Rhinolophus ferrumequinum: one gene and its partners. The protein of the gene in region 1 binds, or shares a complex with, the protein of each later gene. Links are inferred from orthologs where the notes say so. Each region holds a gene or a part of one and is shown on either strand. Other genes may lie near its edges. The genes, in order: RBM15B, METTL3 and CBLL1.

What was found.
Region 2: RBM15B (region 1) and METTL3 share a complex: the UniProt entries of both Homo sapiens proteins name them as parts of the WMM complex. The link is inferred for Rhinolophus ferrumequinum from reciprocal best matches to the Homo sapiens genes RBM15B and METTL3.
Region 3: RBM15B (region 1) and CBLL1 share a complex: the UniProt entries of both Homo sapiens proteins name them as parts of the WMM complex. The link is inferred for Rhinolophus ferrumequinum from reciprocal best matches to the Homo sapiens genes RBM15B and CBLL1.

Annotation. Positions count from the first base shown.
Region 1 is NC_046300.1:5,656,165-5,659,912, forward strand, and holds the start of RBM15B (putative RNA-binding protein 15B), read right to left. Parts: upstream 2,731-3,748; 5' UTR 2,599-2,730; coding exon 1-2,598. UniProt on the Homo sapiens protein: RNA-binding protein that acts as a key regulator of N6-methyladenosine (m6A) methylation of RNAs, thereby regulating different processes, such as alternative splicing of mRNAs and X chromosome inactivation mediated by Xist RNA.
Region 2 is NC_046289.1:72,314,305-72,318,052, forward strand, and holds the start of METTL3 (N6-adenosine-methyltransferase catalytic subunit), read right to left. Parts: upstream 2,282-3,748; 5' UTR 2,173-2,281; coding exon 2,073-2,172; intron 1-2,072. UniProt on the Homo sapiens protein: The METTL3-METTL14 heterodimer forms a N6-methyltransferase complex that methylates adenosine residues at the N(6) position of some RNAs and regulates various processes such as the circadian clock, differentiation of embryonic and hematopoietic stem cells, cortical neurogenesis, response to DNA damage, differentiation of T-cells and primary miRNA processing.
Region 3 is NC_046303.1:50,840,050-50,843,797, forward strand, and holds the start of CBLL1 (E3 ubiquitin-protein ligase Hakai), read left to right. Parts: upstream 1-956; 5' UTR 957-1,179; coding exon 1,180-1,228; intron 1,229-1,278; exon of another isoform or gene 1,279-2,232; coding exon of another isoform or gene 2,233-2,245; intron 2,246-3,748. UniProt on the Homo sapiens protein: E3 ubiquitin-protein ligase that mediates ubiquitination of several tyrosine-phosphorylated Src substrates, including CDH1, CTTN and DOK1. Targets CDH1 for endocytosis and degradation.

The DNA of each region.
Region 1 (3,748 bases):
TTGCTGGGAAAAGTCACAGGGCGGGAAGGCGTACAGCATGCCTGTGCTGTCTCTGCCCTTGGACCCACCCACTGGCAGGCTGATCACCCCCGCCGCCTGCTTCTGTTTCAAGTAGGAGACCAGGTTCCTGAGAAGCCGCCTCTGTAGGCCTGGCTCCACCGCGGGCATCCCCTCGGTGCCAGGCCCACTGGGGGTTGCCTGGGTGGCCAGCAGCACTGCGTAGCCATTGGGGCTCCCTTGCTTGATGCGTCGCGTGACCTCGTCGAGCTTGGGCTGGTCCAGTCGAAGGCGCTGGGCAATCTTCAGCTGAGTCAGCTTACTCCCAGAAGCGTGGTCCTTGAGGAGACCGCTGATGACCCCCTGGTCCCCCTCTAGGATGTGCATAGATGTCGGGAAGCAGCTGTTTTTCAACACTAGAAGCCCGTTCCAACCCAGCTGCAACGTCTGGGCATACTCGGAAAGATTCTTGAGCTTTTTGGTCTCGTGTTTTGGCTCTTCCAGAGGCTTGGGCTCAGCCTCAGCGGTTCGATGATTGCGCTCGCTCTCGCGTGTCTTCTTCCCGTGGGAAGAGTCTGCAGCCTCGTGGTGGTGGTGGCTCCGCTCCTCCGCCCCGTGTCTGCTGTTGCTGAGGGAGTTGCTGCTTGACTCCTTGGTCCCTTCACTGGAGTGATTTTCCTTGCGACTGCGCTCAGGGGTGCGGTCGGAGCCTCGATCGGCCAGCTGCCCACCACCCTTGGTCCTGCTCCGTTCCTCGTAAGGGGAGTGGGTTGTCCTCCCGCGGTCACTGGAAAGACTCCTCCGCTTCCGCCTCTCCTCCCAGGGCTTGGGCAGGCCCCGGTCCCCATCTCCTCCCCAGCGCTCCCCACTCCGGCTGCGCACTGAGCGGCTGTAGCCCTCCAGGCTGTTTCGGCGGTCAGAGCTTTTGCTGGGGCTGGCCCAGTCCCCTTCCAAAAAGGTCCGGTCTCGGTCTGAGTACAGGAGGTGTGGGGGGGTCCTATCCCGCACCCTCAGATCGGCATCCAGGTTTCGGTGCCGGGTATACCCATCTGGGAGCAGCTCGTAATGCACAGGGAGAGGGGAGGGCTGGTACTGCTGGGGATACCGAGTCTCCTCTGCTTTGGCAAAATCCACACGCAGCCTGCGGTCTGGACCACCCAAGGGAAAGCCCCTCATTTTAGCACAGGCGGCCTGCGCTGCGTCCAGGCTCTCGTACTGGATGTAGGCGAAGCTGTCTCCTTTCACATGATCAATGGTCCGAATGCTCCCAAAGCGGTCAAACTCCCGGGCCAGGGCGGCCAGCGAGGTGTTAGGCCCCAGGCCACCCACCCAGAGGCGGGTGGTGGGGTTGGCCTTGCCATAGCCGATCTTAATGGGGTTGCGGCCAATCACCCGCCCTGACATGGCCACCTTCGCCCTGTGGGCCATGTCTAGGTTCTGGAACTTGAGGAAGGCGTACGCACCGCCCTGGCCCCGGGCCGGTCTTTTGATGACCACCTCCTCAATGATGCCGTACTTTTCGAAGGCTCGTCGCAGCTCCACCTCCGACACGCTGTGGTCCAGGTTCCCGATGAAGAGGTTGCGCGTGGCCCGCTGGTCATCCTCGGGCATCAGGTCCTCCTCACACACGGCGGGGTAGCCATATGGGCGCCCCCGGTCGTCGTACAACCCGTAGTAGTCTAGGGCCCGCTCCCGAGATAGTCCCACGGCAGCGGCGGCCGCAGCATCCAGGGCAAAGGCTGCAGCAGCGTGGGCATGGCGGGCGCGGGGCTCCCGCAGTGGCGGGGCGGCGACAGGGGAAAGTGAGCGCTGCTTGTACTGGTAGCCACCGTGCAGCGGCAGGTAGCCAAGCGGGTCAGCAGGCGCAGGCGGCCCTGGGGGCGGCGTGGAGGCGGCGGCGCTGCTGCTGCTGCTTCGCCGGCTGCTCCCACCGCCGCCACCGCGCAGGTACACGGGCTCCACCTTGAGCGGGCGGTCGTAGAGCAGCAGCTGGCGGGCCAGGGCGTGCTGGCGGGCCTCGCGCGCGTCCTGTGGGTGCCGGAAGTTCACGTAGGCCACGCGGCCCAGCTCAGGCGTGTGCGACAGGCGCAGGCTGATCTCGCCGAAGCGCTTGAACTGGTGGAACAGCCGGTCCTCGAGGTGCTCTGCAGGCAGCGCGGGGCTCAGGCTGCTGATGAGCAGCGTCTTGTACTCGGGTGCTGCCGCCGACGAGCCGGGACCCGCGGGCTCGGCTCCGGGCGGCGGCGGAGGTGGTGGCAACGGAGACGCGCGGGGAGAAGCGCCTGAAGCGCCCGGGTCCCCCGAGGCCTTGCCGCCGCGTCCCCCGCCGCCGGCGCCCGAGCCCGAGGAGCGGCCGCTGCTCGCACGGTGATTCGCGTCCCCGGCGCCGCGGCCGTCGCGATGCCCACCCCCGCCGCCCCCGCTACCACGGGGTTTGTCGCGGGTCCGCGTTGGAACGGGGTGCTTGGCGCCGCCGGAGGCCTTGTGCGCCGCCCGCCGCCCGCCCGCCTCCGCCTCCCGTTCGCGCTCCCGCGGCCGCTTGGCTGACGATGACGAGCCCCGCCCGCTCGGGCTCGAGTCTCGCTCGCTTTGCCTCTTCATGGCGCCGGCGTGGCGGGCGGGCGGGCGGCCCTCCGGCCTCTCACAGCGGCGGCGGCGGCGGCGGCGGCGGAGGAGGCAGCGCCCCCGGCGCCGCCATCTTGGACAAAAGGACTCAGCGGCGGGGCGGGAGCGGAGCCCAGGGGCTGGGCGTCGCGTTATCAGGCTGCGCCCGCCGTGCCACGTGACCCAGCGGCGGGCGGGGCGAGAGCTGCGCTGGGCTTACGCCATCGGACTGCGCCGCCCCTTGCCACGTGACTCCGCGACAGGCAGGCGAGCGCGGCTGGGTTGAGCTCTGGCGCCACCGTGCGGCCAGCGTGGCTGACGCTCGGGGATACGCTGAGATCCGAGTCCTAGGGAGAGCCGGGCTGGCTCTCACCGCCTCAGGCCGTAGCATGTGGGCGCCGGGGTCCAGGGCCTTGCCTAGCGATCCCTTTACGTGGTATCACCCCAATTTCCGCCACGGCATCTCCTGACTGGGGTCCGGGATTAACAATCCCAAGGATAGGAGCAGGCTGCTCCCTAGGCCCCATCCATGACCCAAGGCCATCCTGGGGCATCCTCTAAGTTCAGGTTCACCGCAGCGGTCCCCCGAAAGGCCATGAGGGCCATGGCTATGCATGCAGAGGGCGACACCTCTTTAGGCCCAGGCACAGAAACCCGAGACAATGTAACAGTTTAGGGGCCGGGACTAGGCTACTTGGCACCAGACAGTGGGCTGCAAGGACAAGGGCCACTGTCTTGGTGCCAAGAGGCCAAAGCCAGTAGTTCCACGAATTGCCGCGCTTACCTCTCACTGGCCAGGGCCCTCCTATCCACCTCCCAGGACAGGAGCTCTTCTCGGGAGAAGTGAGGTGAGGAGAGGGGAGCTACGGAGAACCATACCCAACGTCAGCCACAGAAACCGTGGTGGGAGGAGCGCAGCAGCTTTCCCTCTCCCCCAAACAGGAAAGCAGCTCCTGAAAGCAGCTAAGGCAGGTGTCAGGGGAAAGGCCTTAGAAGAAACACCTGCAACACTGCATGACCTGAAATCTGCTTCCTTGCAGGAGTTCACCCATCGTAGATAACCATGGGGGGTCAGCCCTAGCATAGTAGTTGGGCTGTTTTCCCTCTTCCCGTTCGGTGTGGCCTGGTGGACATGGAAGCCACGAGA
Region 2 (3,748 bases), on another chromosome or scaffold:
AAGTAACTAATGAGTGAAATTATCAAGTCTGGGTATCTGGACATCCAGAGTAGTGTCCTTTCTATCATGCTATTACTTAGAAATTTTAAGATACTGTTTAAAAATATTTTTCTAATAAAAACATTAAATTAAAAAAAAAAGGTTTTAAAAAATCTAAGTTGCTGGTTTGGTGGCTTCAAGAAGTGCTACACTTTGCACTATGTTAAGCTATCTGGGATAGATGAAGAAAATGCAAAGGTATTTCCCTTGGTTAAACAAAAACAGACTAATGGATGGAAGCAGAAGTAGGAGTCCCAAGGTATAGACTATGGGGATGGAATGATTTTCATTATATATCAAAACACCAGTGAGATTTAACTATGCTAGTATTTTTAGTAGAATATTATTAGGGTTCTAGTAACAGAGTTACATAGATTTTGAGCAGACTACTTCAAAACCTATTTCTTCTATAAGCCCTGCTATTTTGTAATGCAGACTTCTGCAGAAAGCAAGGTTTTTCAGGAACACACACAAACATACCTATATAGTAAAAATGCCTCTAACTATATCTTTCCAGAATGCTTTTTTTAAAAAAAGATGATGAGATGCTTAAGGCCAGTAACAGGAGTCTATGATACATTAAGAAGCAATTGGGTTATTTCTCTATGATAGTGATGTAATTGTTAGATTTTCCATCTAAAATTGATATGCATAAATAAAAGGCTCAGCCACAGAGGAAACCAAAGAATAAGAAAAAAAAAGGAGAGAAAACTGGATCTACAAGAGGTCAAAGGAATTGAAGTTTATATATCAAGAAATACCTTCTCCCTCTTGGGTAATTCAGTAACTACTCCAATGCTTGACTACTAATTAATCCCTTATCATAGGAGTTGCACTTTTTCCTCTACTCATCCTGCCCTCTTTACTTCTTTTCAATGATCTAAGCCCTATATAGCCATCAAAACCAAATTCCAAGTGCCAGCTCCTCCATGATGCTTTTCATTGAACCAACTCTTGTTACTTCTCCTTTCACTACATTCACTGTGGACTCATTCATTTGGCATTTTACATGTATCATATTGTATCTGACTTGTTATAAGCATCTATCCTTTAACCCCAACTAAATTTCAAATTCCTTGAGGGCAGGGTCAATGTCATACTTATTTTTGTCTAACTAGAGTCATGCACACTGTAACAACTCAATAGATGTTCGTTTATTTATTTATTTTGGTGTGAGAGTCCTGCCAGGGCATTTGCTAGTTCCAGGGACAAGAGTATGTCTGCGTCGACCTGATATGTATCAAGACAAGATTTAGTGATGGACTAGAAGATAGAGATAAACATTTGAACAAGCTACCACTGTCGTATAGAGTCACTATGTTTGTAGATCTTCAAAACTGATTTGCCTTAAATCATTCAGGGCTCATGCTGGGGATGGGTGATGGGTAGGACTTGAAAAATCTTTTGAGGCTCCTTCGTTTTATGCCTGACACGGGGGACACGGGAGGGGAGAAAAAATTTAAAAACAAACAAAACCGTTTTCAGATTCCTGCTCGGTATGTAAATGACTGAAACAATGTCAGTTCCTCTTCTCATTTAGTAAAACCGAGTGCAACTCTGTGAGGGCCACTGAGATGGGCACTGTGGATATTAAGATGCGGTGCTTGCTCTCTCGGTGTCCCGTCACAGATAAACGACCACTACCAACCAGTCGCTGTAACCGACAGGAACAAAGCGCCATAGAAGCAACAAAAAAAGGGGACTTGCTACTTCGAGAGATAGGGCTGAGACCTGGCAAACGCGACATTCTTTAAGACTTAAGAGGAATCAGCCAGGGGACGGGGGTGGGGCACAGGCGTCAAACCCAGGAAAGCGAACGCAAGGAACCAAAGCCCAGGGTGGGAAGGAACCTCAACTACTTGCAGCGGGGCGAAGCATCTGTGCTACTGAGGGACGAAAGAGAGTACCAATGAACAAGGCATTAAAGAAATAGCCGCTTGGAGAAGGGCTCTCACTCGGGAGCGGTCTTTTTCTACAGGGATCCCTCCCGCACACCCCGGCTACGCATGGGCCAGGATAGCCCCGCGCCTCACCCAGGTGCCCCGAGTCCTGCTTCCGCCTCCGCTGCAGCCTCTCCCGCAGCGAGTCCAGCTGCTTTTTGTGGGCCTGGATGGAGCTCCACGTGTCTGACATCCTAGTCTCACAGCCTGGACAAGTCTCGAATCAGGCGCGGCGGACTAGCACCTCCCAGCCGGAATTCCAGGAAATATTCAATTCTCTCGTGGACACCCCAAGGCGAACCGGAAAGAGATCCCGAGAGATGGCCTAGACGGAAAAGTCACTTCCGGTTTAGCGTTCGCTTTGAAGCTGAAACGAAAGCCATCTTAGGTATTGGCAGGATGGAGGACATATTTTTTAATTGGGCTTCTTGCGTCCTTCCGGGAGCAATGAGGCTGTGGTTGCCATGTTGGTGCCTGGCAAAGAGGCCATGTTGCTTATAGGCGCGCATGCGGCCATGTTTGAGCATAAGGAGATGCTTCCTGAGGGTTGACCTTAAAATAACACTAGTACAGCAGCACGTGTAGTACCGGTATTTAAAATGAAGGATCACTAATTCGTCTCGGCCAAGTTTGATACATACCTTTTCCACTGAAGGTGTAGTGGGTTTATGGTTTCATGCATTCATTTGCAAAGAGCTATTACATTAGTTTCCGCCCTATGGATGTGTATGCGTGGGCATGCTTCTCAGAGAGAAGGAGGACTGATGGATCGATGGTAATATAAGGGGTCTACAAATACATATTCTCACTCTTCTTAATTATATAACATCTACAAGTATCGTGTAATACATTGAAATACAGTCCTCATAAGGGCACATAAAGGGGGCTTCTGAGGTTCAGGTTGCATTGTGTTTCTTTTCTGGATGCTGTTTGCATGAGTATGTCATTTGTGAAAATCAACTGAGCCAAAAATTTTGGTATGTGCACGTCTCTGTAGGTGTAGTAAACTTAAATTAAAAACTTGTATTAAAAATATAGTTAGTATGTAATACTATACTAGTTTCAGGTGTACACAGTAGTTACTCAATCTTTATATACCTAAAGAAGTGATCACCATGATAAGTCCAGCAACCATCTGACACCATACAATACTATCACGATATATTGACTATATTCCCTATGCTGTACATTATATCCCCATGACTTACTTGTTTTATACTTGGAAATTTGGATCACAATTGCCCTTCACCTTTCCCGCTTTTTAATTTTTTCAGTTTCAGTTGACATTCAATATTATTGTCATACAGGGTGTCATGCAGGGTCTCTGGTCCCACTGCCCACCTAAGAACGCAGGATATGGTGAGACCAAAAAGGAACAACACAGAGCCATAGATAGGGAAGTCATACCACTATATTCTCGCTGGTGGCCGGGCAAGACACACACAGTAGGATCCACATAATCGGCAGTCCCCCATTCGTTTCTTCTGCCTGCCAATCAACCAACCAATCAATGCAGTCCCGGCAGTTACATCAGTAGCCAATTGGCTAAACGGTTACAGCTGACAGCGAACCAATCACAGTTGATTGTCATTCATTACCTGAGCCAGCACCTCCCCACAGGAGGCTGAGAGCCTGGAAACTGCTCTCTGGGACTGTGTCCCCACAATTATTTTATATGAATTTCAGGTGTACAGCATATGGTTAGACATTGATATAATTTAAAAAGTGATCCCCCAGTCTGGTACCCACCTGGTGCTATACATAGTTAT
Region 3 (3,748 bases), on another chromosome or scaffold:
GTGCCATGCTATAAAATAAATGTGAATGTGGACTTTCAATAAAGAAATTGTGACATTACAGCACACAAGTCACCAACAATAGCTACCAAGCACAGTAATAAAATCTCAATCTATGTATAGTTTCACTTACCAGTTTAGTTAAGAGATTTACACTGCTGCACTGGTAAAGTGAAGCAACTACAGTTAAGGGAGAAATGAATATAGAGCATAAAGTAATGCATGAAAACAACAGATGTTAAATGAAATAATTCACCAAATGTTTAACATTTTATCAACAGGAAGTCTAAACAGGTGAGTTTTCCCTTAGTAAATTTTCATAACAATGCTGACAAAACTTCTGATTTAGATTATATAAAATAGTTTGAAAGTTCTTTTTTCTTCTAATTCTTTAAATATTAGCATCAGTAGACACTAATATTATTTTAAACCTGGATTTGCATCAATCTAAAGTATGGCCAATAGGCTAAATATGAGGATAGAAAAAATAAAAAGAGTACTTTCTAGGTGAAAACGACCTTTTTTTAAACCCCAAATTGGTGAAAAATGCTCGATCGTATCAACACTGTAAATAGGAAGTATGGGAGGAAGATTAAGCTTCTCCCAGCCTCCAAAACAAAAAATAAGGCCAGCAACTGAAAGCATCTTGAAAACCACATTTTAACAAAAGCAGGGGTAATCTTGATTCACAATTATCCTTCCTTGTGAAGGTCCTTAAAAACTTGTTCATGAAGTTGCAGATATAGTAGTGGGAGTGTCTTTTAAAGGATTCAAGTAAAACACTCACCAAATAACAGGGAACATATTATTCAAAGTTGTTACTGTATATCTATACAGATACAGCACATTGCTACACATACTTTATTTGGAATTCAGTACCATGAAAACATTTCTTGTAAGAGGTCAATGTAATCTCTTATTAATCAAGGAACTCTGGCACTGAAAGCGTGAATAACCCAAGGTAATGATGTCGTCACCAAGGGACGACAAGAATAGAACCCAAATCCCTTGACTCCCCAGCTTGTGTTTTCCACTAATTGTGCTCCTTTCTACCCATCAGAGGGTATCAAACGTAAAAGAGAAGGGAGTGGACACAAATGAGCCAAGCCCGAGAGGTGGAGACCGCACTGAAGGTCCTCAGGAATCACTCTTTGCCACTTTCCGTTGTTTTGGCCTAAGAAGATGAAAGCAGCAGCAGCCACAAACCCCTGGGACCAAGAACTGGAACTAGGTACTGCTTACTGTGGTAACTCTCTCTTCCTCCTTTGAGGCCTTTCCTTTTTAACCTCTCCCTTCCGGCCAGCCCTAACGCTCTCTCCACCTCCCCTCCTTCAGCTCCACGGTGCACTTTATTGACCGGCGTCCCCTAGAAACAGGCGGCTGCGCTGCACTCGCTCTCCACCTGACCCTGCACCCAGTCCTTCGGACATATGTTCTGGCTGTTCCTAGAGGCAGAAGCTTTTAGGCTAGAAAAGGAGTGCTACTCAAGCATTCTAAATGTGTCGCAACTGTTAGAAACTTAAGAGGCGGGAACGGGGACAAATACCAAGTCGGTTGTGCGTGGGTCTATGTAGCTCGTCGCGGCAAAGCGACCTTTAGACAATAAGCACAGCGCCCTTCTCTCTAGCTGGGAGCTTCACACAGCTCACCCATCCCCTGGGCTAGCTCCGCCGGAGGACGCCTAGGGGAGCGCGCGTGTTTACACTTTTCCTAGACCCGGGGAGGGGACAGCCGCTCTGGGACCTGGGGGATTCCAAACCGTTACTCCGCCTGCCGGGGTGGGGCCGCCCAACGGCCGAGCCTGCGCACTGGGCCTGGCCTCTCCAGGGCTCCGGTGCACTTCAAGTCCCAGAAGTCAACGCTCAGCGGGGGCGGGCATCCGCCTACCTGCCGGGAGCTTATCCCTCCAGCTACTACCGCTCTCCCCCTCCCCGGTTCCCGTCCGTCTCCTTTCCAGTCAAAGGCTACTTTCTCTCGAAGCATGTGAGGAGAGGCCGTAGCAACCCCGACATCGAAGGCCTTAGCCTACTCGCTCTTTCTTCCTCAGCCCGAACTATGCCTAATTCGCTTACCGGAGTTGGGTGGTGTGAGCCAGGAAAGGAAGCCCTCGGAAGCCAAAGCCGGGGCAACCTAATGGCACTTCCGCCTCCCGGGCTCCGGAAGGTAGCGCGCACGCGCTCCCTGCGACTCCGGCGCAGTTGACTTCCGTTCCCACTGTGCTCTGCGAGCCGAATCATGGATCACACTGGTAAGGAGGCGGAGGCAGTGGGGGTCCCGGTTCCATGCCCCCTTGGCCGGCCTGGGACTGGTCTCCTAGCGGACATAGAGGGGTTACGCTCGCCCTACATTACTGGGGTGTAGCGGTGAGAAAGAAATCTTACAGACCCCTCCCCCTGCCCGGCAAGGGCCTGCTACTTCCCGGCCTACTCTCCGGTGTGGTACCTCCAGCCGCGGTGCCGGCAACGGCCGCTTATCTGGTTCTGCTGAGCCCCGAGCCGGGACGGCGGGCGGCGCGGGCCTTGTGCGGAGATCTCGCTCTCTCTCTCTCTCTTTCTCTTTCTCATTCTGAGGGCTATGCCCTACATTACGGGAACTAGGGGGAGATTCCCGTTTCGGAGACGGGGAAGCCTTATTACGCTGGGAGTGGATTTGCGAGAGTGGGTTGGAGACGTTCTGCTGTCTCAGGCAGCTTTGGGCGGGTGCTGCGGTGGTCAGCGTCTGTGGTCATTGTCTCTCCCGTCCTTTATGGACTAGAGGTGGGAGAAGGGAGTCGGGTTGGTTTTCGGAATGATGCTCGGAGCAGCTTTTCTATCGAAACCCCGCGCTTCGGCTATGGCCCTTACTCATCATTTGGGGACATTTACAAAGGAGAACTTAAAATCAAGACATTCACATCTCTTTCTCAAAGTAAGGATGGCTCCACTCTTTGTTACGTGTTTTTTTGGTTTAGCTTGCTGGGTTTTTGGATATTGAATGAGTGCACTTGGGATTAGAAAGTGCTTCGTATAGTTACATTAACCACATCGCAAATAGGGAAAAAAGGCGTTTTCCTGTAGTAAGTACTTGTTGGGATGTCCTCAATCATCAAATACCTGTCTATCTGTCTGTCTGTATTTTTCTCTATCTCCAAAACTTGCAGGCCTGGAGATGGAATGGTAAACAAGGCAGAGTTACTGTCATGGAGGTTACGATCTATTGGGGAAGACACAATAAATTTTTTTTAAAGCCCAAATGTTTACAAGTTATGATAAGTTCTTTGAAAACAAACATGCTGTGGTAAAGACTAATACGACGCTTCAGAGAGGGTGGTAGGGAAGGTCTTTCTCTAAAGGTAGCATTAACAACTTGAGATCTGATGGATGAGAAGAATCCAGCCATGGAATAGATCAGGAGGAAAGCATATTCAGCAAGTACAAAGAATGAAGTGGGAAATTAGTCGGCTGCAGCTTAGTTATTAGCAAGAAGGAAAGAGCTCTAATACGAGATTGGAAAGGAGGGCAGGAATCAGGTCGTGCAAGACTTTGAAGGCCATGTTAAAGATTCAAATTTATTTTATGTGCAATATGAAGCCATTGAACAGAAGTAGAAGAGGAGCATAGTATCTTAAAAATATAATAGGTTCTATGGAGAAGGGTGTAAGAGAGGGTGGCAAGAATAATAGAAAATAGACAATTTAGGAGGTAATTGCAGTAAACCAGAAGGCAGGCTTGGCTTAGTGAAGAACCGGAGTGGACAGAGTCAATAAATATTT